Arabidopsis thaliana: one gene and its partner. The protein of the gene in region 2 interacts with the protein of the main gene of each other region in a pairwise test. Each region holds a gene or a part of one and is shown on either strand. Other genes may lie near its edges.

What was found. Proteins that work in one complex are often made in the same cells at the same time.
Region 1: the proteins of HB23 (region 2) and AT1G49590 interact in a two-hybrid assay, tested with the Arabidopsis thaliana proteins (one large-scale study listed by BioGRID).

The regions. Positions count from the first base shown.
Region 1 is NC_003070.9:18,352,468-18,358,121, reverse strand, and holds AT1G49590 (C2H2 and C2HC zinc fingers superfamily protein), read right to left. Parts: upstream 3,340-5,654; 5' UTR 3,126-3,339; coding exon 3,117-3,125; intron 3,009-3,116; coding exon 2,808-3,008; intron 2,718-2,807; coding exon 2,633-2,717; coding exon of another isoform or gene 2,613-2,632; exon of another isoform or gene 2,376-2,612; coding exon of another isoform or gene 2,326-2,375; intron 2,243-2,325; coding exon 2,147-2,242; intron 2,051-2,146; coding exon 1,713-2,050; 3' UTR 1,389-1,712; downstream 1-1,388. Other genes in the region: RBP47A (RNA-binding protein 47A), read left to right, coding at 58-295; AT1G49580 (Calcium-dependent protein kinase (CDPK) family protein), read right to left, coding at 3,738-3,881, 3,965-4,132, 4,216-4,278, 4,383-4,490, 4,572-4,687, 4,786-5,082, 5,181-5,259, 5,343-5,451 and 1 more. UniProt on the Arabidopsis thaliana protein: Nucleic acid-binding protein that promotes Pol IV-dependent small interfering RNA (siRNA) accumulation, DNA methylation and transcriptional silencing.
Region 2 is NC_003076.8:15,908,709-15,913,980, reverse strand, and holds HB23 (homeobox protein 23), read right to left. Parts: upstream 2,632-5,272; 5' UTR 2,439-2,631; coding exon 1,434-2,438; 3' UTR 1,121-1,433; downstream 1-1,120. UniProt on the Arabidopsis thaliana protein: Putative transcription factor. Probably involved in establishing polarity during leaf development through the gibberellic acid (GA) signaling pathway.

The sequences.
Region 1 (5,654 bases), on a different chromosome or scaffold from region 2:
TAACAGTGAAGATGGGTAAGGTAGTTGCAATGTGTGACGTGCCCTTGGTTTTGACAGGCAAAGTGCTGAGGAAGCCATCGGGAACTTGAACGGGACAGTCATTGGGAAGAACACTGTCCGCCTTTCATGGGGAAGAAGCCCCAACAAACAGGTACAAGAAAATTTTAGTTGGATTTGTGTTTTTAAACATTATATGCATTTCTATTGGTATGGTCCTATGGTCCAGGTCAAACTTAGCTTTAGAGTTCTTTTGGGTCTTTATATTTCTGTCTTCATGGGGTGGATAAAGTTATAGAAATCCTTAAAGCCAAAGTCAGTGGTTGACAATGGATAGTAGTAGGTGTATTGCGGGCCATAAAGACCTAGTGGAATTTACCACCTTCCCACGGTTTTCGTTGACTATATCTATTGGCAAATCTAATGCATATCACCTTGGCCCACTTATCATCTCCCTGAATTATCCAATCTCTGAAATAATAGTAATGGTTCTGTGTTTCTTAGGATTGAGAAAATTTACAGCTATTAAGATTCATGAGCTAGTTGAAGCATGTACTGATGTTATCGTTTATCTTTAGAGGTTGTCGAAGTTTCAATGTTTCATGTTTGTCTTAATTCTCTATTAGTAGTTGTAATCAGTGGACAAGCTAAAGTAATCTCTACAAGAATAACCAACTTGGTAGTTTTTATCCGTGATGTTCTATTGAATGTTTTAATCCATTTACTAATCTTGTTCAACTTTTAAATCTAAAAATGACAGTGGAGAAGTGACTCTGGCAACCAATGGAATGGAGGATATTCAAGAGGTCAAGGATACAACAATGGATATGCCAATCAGGACTCAAACATGTACGCTACTGCAGCGGCTGCAGTCCCGGGAGCTTCTTGAAAGTGTTGGTATGTCTCTATCATCAGAAACCCTGTGAGTCCTGGACTTACGGGTATTGGGATAAAAACAAACCGTTGGGTGATCAAAGTGATCCATCCGATGATAGTTGTTGGTTCAGAGGTTAGCTCGCACCATCGAAACTAAAACCTCTAGTGTCCAAAGAGGGTTTTGTATCCTGGATTTGAATCTTGCTTATCTTGCTGTCTCAGTCTCTGTCAAAATTTTGGGGTCGTCTGATACTTGAATTTTTTATTTTCAGTTTTTTTTTTGAGTTAATTTGTCTTTGTTACTGAGACTTCCTCAAAGTCAGAGCTTGGTCCACAATAAGTAATTTCCTAAATCGTTTGGATCATTTATTAGTGTGCACTTTGCAGTGCTTTGATAGTTTTACTTCTTTAGAGTAGTGTTTGGTTTCGATTTATTCCCATCTTAACAAGTTTATGCATAATTTCAGAAACTGATTCATGAAAGTCAACCAATAAACTTTAGAAGAATAGACCAAAAAGAACTTAATTTTCTAAACTTTTTTTAAGACGAACACAAAAAAAAAGTTGTGCAAAGACCTCGTAACTTCATCAAAATGGGTAAAATGTGGACTTCCATCATTCTGACTATAAAATTGAATAGGTGTGTACAACAAAGAGGAAACTGATATGACTGGAACAACAGTTAGAAGAACACAAGACCAATGCTCCCAGAAATACCAGAGAGTTTTGGAATAAACTGTCATGTAGGAATAACTGAAATAACCGCCACAATGAGATCAATCATCACTCTTCTCTGCTTAGCCTCTCCCTTTTGCATATAGGATCAAGCCAATGATGCATCAAAAGGGTCTATTGTAAAGACCAAGCAATGGTTTTTCTCTATCTTCAACTCGTTTCCTAGCAGCTTCTCTTGCCTTCAATGCAGCTTTCTCTTCTGCAGATACTTTCTTCGGTTTCTCATCTTGCCTCTTTCTCTTGTTGTTGCCAAGATCAACAGATGAAGCCGCTCCTTTCACAGCTCTTTTAGGATTTAAAGAAGCTGTGACAAGACGGCCAGGTGGTTTCCCCACACTTGGTCCAGCTCCTGAAGAAGATACAGGCTTTTTCACGAGAGGTACTTTGGTTCCTGATGATGTTTTAACCGCAGCGTAGGCCTCGTCTTGTGTCACCCAATGTCCTGTTTCATTACCCGTGTAAGCATACACACGACGAAATTGTATACAATCATGTTTGCAAGGAAACAAATAAAAAAAACTCGATATATATTACATACCTATTGAGTCACTGTAATAGAATCCAGACTGTGAATCATAGTGCAGACCATTGGTCTGGTTGTAATAATAGCCTGAAGCACTGTCGAGCATCCAATCTGCCATAACAATATGGTTACTACATGGTATATGTATAAATGAAAAAGGCTAAGAAAAATGGCAATCAAAATGATGAAAGAACCTGAGAGTGACTCAAAAGAAGCAACCGTTTCGCTCTTTCGTGATGATTCTCTATAGGGTTATAGGCATTAAAACTTATAAGTCATTTGCAAAGATGTGTAATATGACAATCGAAGAATCAGACGCTGCTTGGTTTGTTCATACTTTTGGTCAATGAAAGCAATTCACAAATCCAATTCACACATACTCTACGACCTCAGTAATGTTAAGTCTATAACAAACAGATCCAAAGCTAAGCAACAACCCTGAATATAGCAGCTATAAGTCGAAGAACAAATACTAATGACATCATAGAGAGAGATACTTACCGGATGTACCATCCTCTGGTGCACCGTTTGCTTTAGCTACTTGCTGAGCAGTTGCAATATCTTTCTGATAGCTACGAGTTGCTTTCTGAAACAAGTTGAGATATAAACAATGGAATCAGAAATAAATACGTTAGAATAAGTATCACTGGCAAAAGAAACAAGAATGATTACTCACAGCTTCGATCTGTTGAAGCAGTTTTTCGTTTTTCTTGAGCTCTTTGTCTTTGGCTGCACTCCTCTCACGCATATCAGTGAGCTTCTTATCAACACATTCTCGGTGACGCTTACCAAGGTCATGGTTTCTAATACTTGTTGGATTGTTCTGTATCCATATCTTACAGAATTCACACCATTTGTTCCCTTGACTTACCCAATACTGAAATAACACAAAAAACAAACTCAAGATCAATTTCAATTACGAAACAAGACAGAGGTTTCGTAATTCAAAGAGATTTGGAGAGAAAAGATGCGAATTTTGATTTACCTCAGTCATGGCTGTGGATCAAGGAGATGAAGATTGAATCGAAAATTAAACCCAGAAAACGAAGTTACCGGAACTATAAGATCAACTTTTAATCAGAATCAAGAACTAAGTGAAGAAAAATCTCGAGAGAAAGAGAGAGAGATTAGAAACCCTAATTCCTTAAACTCGAATCCCAAACTCGAGAGGAGAAGCAAAATATAAAATTGGGGGAGAAGAAAATCGGTTTGGTTTGTTTTCTAAATTCTAATTTATTTCCATCACTAGAACCGGTTTTCACTGGTTACACCGACTCAGATCTCACAAATTAAAGCACAGTAACAAACCGGAAATAACCAAGATTTCGCTGATTCCATAATCATTGGGAAGAAAGAGAGACAAAAATCAAATCTTTTTGGAATTTTCTTTTTCATTTTCTTGACTTCACATAGAGTATCAAAGTATCTGTGGTTACTATATTATTACAACAATCTTTTTTTTAGAATTGCTCTTGTAAGAAACTTTTCATTTGTTGTACAGTCTTTGACCAACTATTACATTTCCAATACCAATCCAAGATTTAGAGTAAAGGTTTTGACATCTTCTTTTACGATTTCGCTTAGGTCATGTTTGTTTTCGTTATCTTCACCGGGTAGTTTTCCCCGAGGCTCGAACAGAGACTCCATGTAACAGTTTAACAAACCCGAAGAAGCTAAGCTTTCCATCAGTGTGTCTGATCCAATCATGTAGAACTGAATGTACCGGTATAGATGGTCCAACACCAAGTTCCTGCAATTCAAAAGCATGTCGTTTTAGAGGATCTGTTTTTCGATATTTTTGTATTTAAGCTGAAGACAGATGCTTTAACTTACAGAGGCAAGTTCTTCGATGACAATAGCTCGGTTTCCATTCTTGTCGAAAAGCTCATAAGCATGTCGAATGCTCTGTTCCCAACAATCAAGCGACTCGTGCTGATGAACGTTTATAGCAGCTGCACAAAACTCTTCAAAATCCATTCCTCTGTATTGAAGTCCATTTAGCTGTAAAAAGCCAGTCAATGAAGGATCATTAACACCAAATTGTTAAAGCATTTATCAAAATCCGAGAGAACACAGTCATTTACCAAAGCAAGAAACTCTGGGATCCGAGATTCTTTCATTGCTTCTGTTGCATTGCTTGCAAGTGCCTGTTTAAACAGAAACAAAAAATGCAATACAGATTAGATTACTACGGTGTTTCTCTTTTTTTCTCAAGAGGAAGGAATATAAAAGAAGTTATAGTGTCACAAACCATTCTAATGGTATCCATTGTGATTAGGCCATCTTTGTTTGGTGCGAGAAGAGAAAATTGAGTTTTCAGGTAAAGAATTTCATCCTTGATTAACGTCTTCGATAGCGCCTGTGAAAAGAAAGCACATAATAGTGAGAAAGTAATCTTCAATGCTCTTTTCGACACTTTAAAAGAATGCCTAAAACATACCCTCAAAGCAGCTTTGCGTAATGAAGAAGATCGCAAGTACGCCTTCATCTGCCTAAAGATCAAGATATCGAAAGGGATATTCATGTCCGTATTATAAGCTCGGATCCAAGGATGCACTGAAAAAAGTAAATAGGAACTGAATTTGGTGATTTATGACTACCAAAAGACAGGAGACATAAAACTATAAAGAGCTGTGAAATTAAAAATGACTGACTCAAGGCTTGGGAGGCTGACATTCTTCGCCGGGGATCCTTAAACAATAACCGCTTAACAAAGTCTTTAGCGTCAGAAGACAAGAAGGGCCAAGGAGGTTCATCGAAACTCGGGTCAGCTTTAAGAACAGCTCTAAAAATTCCGGATTCAGTTCTTGCCCAAAACGGACGGCTACCACATAGTAGAATGTATGCTATGACTCCGATGCTCCACACATCCGCTTCTGTTGTATATGATCTGTGTAGAACTTCGGGAGCTACATAGTATGCACTTCCCACTATATCGTTTAGTCTCTCATCTTTCAAAAAAAGGGGCACAAAATACCATTTTTAGTTTACTAACCAGAAGAAAAAGAACTGGAGAAATAGTGACATAGTAAAATGTGTGATGATGAACCTGGTCTGACAAAGTCTGATAAGCCAAAGTCTATCGCTTTAAGCTGAGAATTCTCCTCCTTGGAAGTGTACAAGAAGTTCTGATGATGAAGCAGCGATCAGAAAACATTCTACACATAAAAGTAAAACATAATCTTCTTTCCAGTTCAAAATTGTGCCTCACCTCTGGTTTAAGGTCTCGATGAACAACTCCTTGGAAATGACAGAAAGCTACCACATTCAGAATTTGTATAATCACTGGTTTTGCGTCATTCTCTGAGTATTTCCCTCCCCTGTAGAAAAAAACGATGAATCTTTTTATAAAATAAGAACAATCTCTGGCCATAAGTATCGATAACTCTTTAGTAGCACACAGACACACACCTTGCTAGTATTCTGTCAAGAAGCTCACCACCTTCACATAGCCTGCAAATTCAAACTACTTAAATCCAATTATGAAACAATAGGTTCTTTTTACCAAATTCATAACTAAAAC
Region 2 (5,272 bases):
GCCTTAAACCCTTATTTAGAAGTTGTATAGATTTTATGGATGCTACGATGTGATATAATAATAGTTATATCAAACTTTAGTATGAATTGTACTAATTCAATCTCTAAGTATAAAAAGGTATATGCTGGTTTGTACTTCTCAAATGAGAATAATCAAAACTAAGCATATATACCAAAAATGGGTTATCGGAATGAATCCATGACAATGACATAGATTAAAGAGGAAATGGTGTTAACAATATTTTTAAAACCAACCCAGTGAATCGGACTACCTTTTGGATCATTGGATCATCGGGTTAATTAGATTAGACTACGGGTCAATTGATTAAAATTTATTTAATAAATTTAATATTAATAGAGATTTTAGAGTTTTTAGAGTTCTTATAAATTTTAAAACAAAAATAATCATTTACATCAAAAAAAAATATAAATATATAATCAAACAATAATAATAAAGTGATGAAATTTTTTAAATCCAACTAAATGTCTAATACCGTAACAAATATAGTAAAAAATCAGCAATGATGGAAATAAACTAATAAAACATCGTGAATTCACACAACTAATATCGGATATCTCACTCACCATTCGATTCATTTTTTAAGGCGGCATTGTGAAGTCTTCATCAAAATCTTAAACATCAAATGGGTTTAAGAACTGAAAAATATCTAAAAATTGATTGAATAAAGTCTAAAATCTCATATTTTATTCCAAAATCAAGAGAATTTTTTAAAACCCACATCCGGCCAGTTCAACTGGTTCATCGGGTCACGGGTTAATGATGAGTTTTTGTGGGTTTTTTCGGTTTTGAACTTGTTGGATTTTAATACTAAACCCAAACCGGAAAAGTGTTCGGGTCACGGTTCAACCGGTCGGACCGGACGGTCCGGGTCGGACGTGAAAACACTGGGTGTTAACAACAATGCTACTAATATACTAATGATGGCTAATCATTTGATATAGAATAAAAAAATAAAATAAAATTAAGAGGATCTAAGAAAGAAAAAAAGTACACCTACTACATCTAGTTTGGTTGCAAATAAAATTAAGAAGAGTACTTTAAAAGATAAGAAACCAAATGAATATTTATAGTAACTAATCATGTTTCACTCGTTTATTAATCTTTTTGTTTCTTCATCCGAAACAAGATTACCACATCAAAAGTGTACCATTTATTGGAGTACTTAGTCACATTTCAGGGTTCATTAATAGAAATGTTTACAACAAATGATATAATTCGAACATTGTTATGGTATTATTCCTCATCGAGCGAGACACCGACGTGGTAAAGAACATTAAATCAAAACTAATAATAATGCAAAAACAAACAAAGCTAAAGATCTTAATTAATATTTAATAGAAAGTTATTAACGATGATAATACGAATAAGCTTACTCTAAGCTTCTTATTAACCTGACACTCTCATCTTTAACTTCACGACGACGATGATCCGTTAACGTTACCACCGTTAGCTCCGCCGCTATCACTATCAAATCCTCCGCCACCACCGCCGCTACTAACACTCTGGTGAAGCTCTCCTCCTCCTCCGACACCGTGGTGTCCATTGTTATGGTTATTAATCTCGCCGGCGAGAATCGGAGTGTGGTTTCCTCCGCCGTTATCGATTTGCCGGATCTCGTTTCCGGCGATATCACGGCGGTTAAAGGTGTTTTTGTTGTTATGCATCCAAACTTTGAGAACACTTTTATCAACTCCGATCTGCCGGCAAAAATCACGAACATCGTCTTCGTCACGTTTTTGCATCTTCCAACCAACACGTTCGGCGAATTCATGCATCTTCTCTTTCTGAAACTGGCTGAATTTTGTTCGGAATCTTTTACGAGATCCGTGAAGAGTATGTTGGTGGTGGTGGTGGTGGTTGTTTCCGGCGGAGAAGTTAAGATCGGAGAAAGAAGCTAAGTTGTTGTTGTTGTTATTAGTACCGGAGAGAGATAAGAGCATGTAAGAGGAAGAGATTGGTGGAGGAGAAGCTGAGTTAGGACTACGTGGTGGTGGAGGAGGTGGTGGTGGTGGTGGATGATGACGGTGGTGAGGTTGATACTCTACGGCGGTGGAAGGAGGAGGAGGGATTTGGGAAGAGTCGTTGTTGTTATCTGGATCACGGCGGTGGAAATTACGGTGGCAGCCACAAGCAGCACATTTGAGAGAAGTTGGATCGGAGGAGATTGACGACGGAGACGGCATGAATTCGCCGCAACCGTCGAGAGCGTGACCACCTAAAGCCGCCGCGTGGTTTTTGAGACATTCTTTGTAAGTAAAGAGGAGAGGATGGTGGTGGTGGTGGTGGCGTTTGATGATGCCGTTGCTAAAGGAAATGGGTTTCGCCGGTTGGATCCGGGTCGGAGTTTCGGATTCGGGTTCGGGTGATTTAGGAGTTGGTGTTGTTGTTGTTGTTATTGTAGGAGTCATATCCATCATAGCTTAAAACATTAATATAACCAATAATTTGAAGAAAAAAAAGACTTAGGGTTTTTGGGTTAAGAGCTTTGAAAATATGGTATGAGTTTCAGAGAATGTGAATAGAAAAATGAAGAAGAAGAAGAAATAAAGATAAGTAAAAAGGTTCTAACTTCTTAAGCTGTTGGAGATTTTTTAATATTACATATTTTCCACTTGATTTTTTATTGGTAATATTCGTTTAGAGGAGGAAAAGAAGAAAATGATATGATGACTATGACGACTGTTGCTGAAGCAAATAAAGAAATAATATTTTGAAAAAGGACAATTGTATTAAACTAAATTTATGATTTTAAATGAAATAATAAAGAGACTTGGATTTAGGGATATTTTAATCAAGGGAACCAAGGTTTGATGATTTTTAACCATGGTTAGGTAGATGGAGTTTGTGGGATCGACAAAGAGAGTGCGTGTTAAATTTTGCGGTGAAAAAGCGTAATAAATGTGGCTACTAGTGTCTTAAACATAAAGGCACAAGTCAAAACTGAAAAAGAAAAAATAAGTCTTATGGTAATAATGGGTTACATTTGTTCTAAGATCAGCAATGTTGTGAAAGATACTCCTTCGACTACAACAAAAACGTTAAGGTCAAACCTTTCAAATGAAGGAATGAGAAAGATCACTTTCTTGTAAAAGTTGGGGGTGAATTTTTAGGTTTCCACTATGGTTAAGTTTATATGGGTGATATTCGACGGAAAATGTCAATTTTGCTAGATTTTGATGAACAAGTTGAGAGCAATGATCGAAATTCCGTCCTTCATATACTAGAGATTATTAGAGGATCCAAAACTAGAGATTATTAGAGGATCCAAAACTATTATGAGAAATCCATTAGCCAATGTAACTAGGGTGATAGCTACTAGAGATTCATATAAATTTGTTTTTAAATATCAATGTATTGTAAGGTAATCTTAAGAGTTGTCTCAAAACAAATTTTTTTCTTTTTCTTTATAAAAGGAATTTTGTGCAAAAATAACTTTCAAAGACGTCAATTTTTACAAATTTATCATCTATCTCTAAAAAAATGCAAAATAATTGTATGAAATCAAAAATAATATGCAATATAGCTTCATTTTTTTGTTATAGTTAAATTTTTAAAATTTTGATAAATAATATATCAAATTAAAATCTTCGAGACGAGGAGTCCAACTCTACTTTCACAATTTTAAAAAGCAAATGTATGTGATCATAGAAACATTTACAATATATGTATAGGGCTATATTGCGTCTTATTTTGTATTTTATAGGATTATTATGTATTTTGTAGAGATTAATGGTAAAGTTGAAAAAATTAGCGACTTAATTATGATTTTTTTTTGCACAAACCCCTTATAAAAATATCAATTTTGAATCATTGTATTCTTGTTGACAAGTTAAAGTCTTTTTTCTTTTCTATTAATTGCATCATAATAAAGTTTTTATAAGCGATTTCATTTCAATCTTTCTATTATTTCTACCTAGCTTAATAAGTCCATTTGAGCTTGAATCCTACTAGCTTTGAATTCTCCCACAGAGATGTTCCTTGGCACAACTATCACGGCCCGTTCGTAAAGAATCATCCACGGACAATGTTTTGCTTAAATAATTGCGGCTCCAAAGAATTCTTTTGGGGAGAGTGCTATTCTGTTCTTAATTAATGCAATCCCAAAACATAATGGGTAGAAGGACTTCATGGTCATGTAAAGGAGATTACATGCAAACGATGAAGATATCTTCGACTTTCTTTTTGGTTAGACTTTAGAGGTAGAGAAGCTAATCTTATAGCAGATTTAGTGGTAATGATTGATGACTTAATGGGCTAATGGAATAATACAATTGGCATTAATTTTTATGGGCCGGGTTATTGCACACATGCAACTATAGTGATTTCAGAACAGCCCATCCGAGGACTTGAGTATAAAATAGACAAATTCAAGAAGGAAGTTTGAAGACCCCAAATTACCCCTTTCTAACGTCTCAAAATGATTGGGTTCGAAGCATAAATCATAGTTACACTTGTTTGTAATCATAGGCATATGTAATCACTAATCATCACTTTATTTGATTTAGCAAGTAACTAAGTATAAACTTATTGGTATAAATTATTTTAATGTTAGACAAATGTATTTCCAAATTAGTTTAAAACTATGTTTATTCTATATTTTTAATTCCTTCATTTTTATTTTACAGTGAGAAAGAGAGAGAGGTAAGAAGTAGCTCTATGTGGGCTGCATAAGCATTCTGTGTGTGTTAGTTGTATAAGTAGAACTAAGCACATGTGTTCCGTAGTGAAACACCAGTTATATGTTATAATAAGCTGAATTATCTCCAACTTGTTTATGGTTAGTTGGATAGTATTTAGCAGCACATGCACTTTCTCTTTCCATAGAGGTTTCCAATGTCACTATTGTATCATGATTGATGCAGGAGGTATACACCAAATTGCTTCACTCTATAGTAGCAACATCAAGTAGGTAGCTTATTAGGGTCTTTTAACAAGTACATGAACATAAATGTGAAATGTTGACAGATAAGGACAACGTTGAAGAAGTCAGGAACACTGTGTACCGGTAACTAGTCTTGATCATGCGGTTTACAATGCAGGCTAAGTTCTGATTCCTCCACAGTGCGCTTTGTCTTTGTCTTTTCTCATCATAGGTATGTAACATTCTCTTTTTTCAACACTATTTCAGTGATTCTCTCTTCTCTGTGCGATCATCACATGTTCTTTAAACGGAACAACATAAGCATTACTATTTCAGTAAACATGAAAACAAGTGCTGTTTTTTGGACACTAATAATGTTTGCAAGCTTCA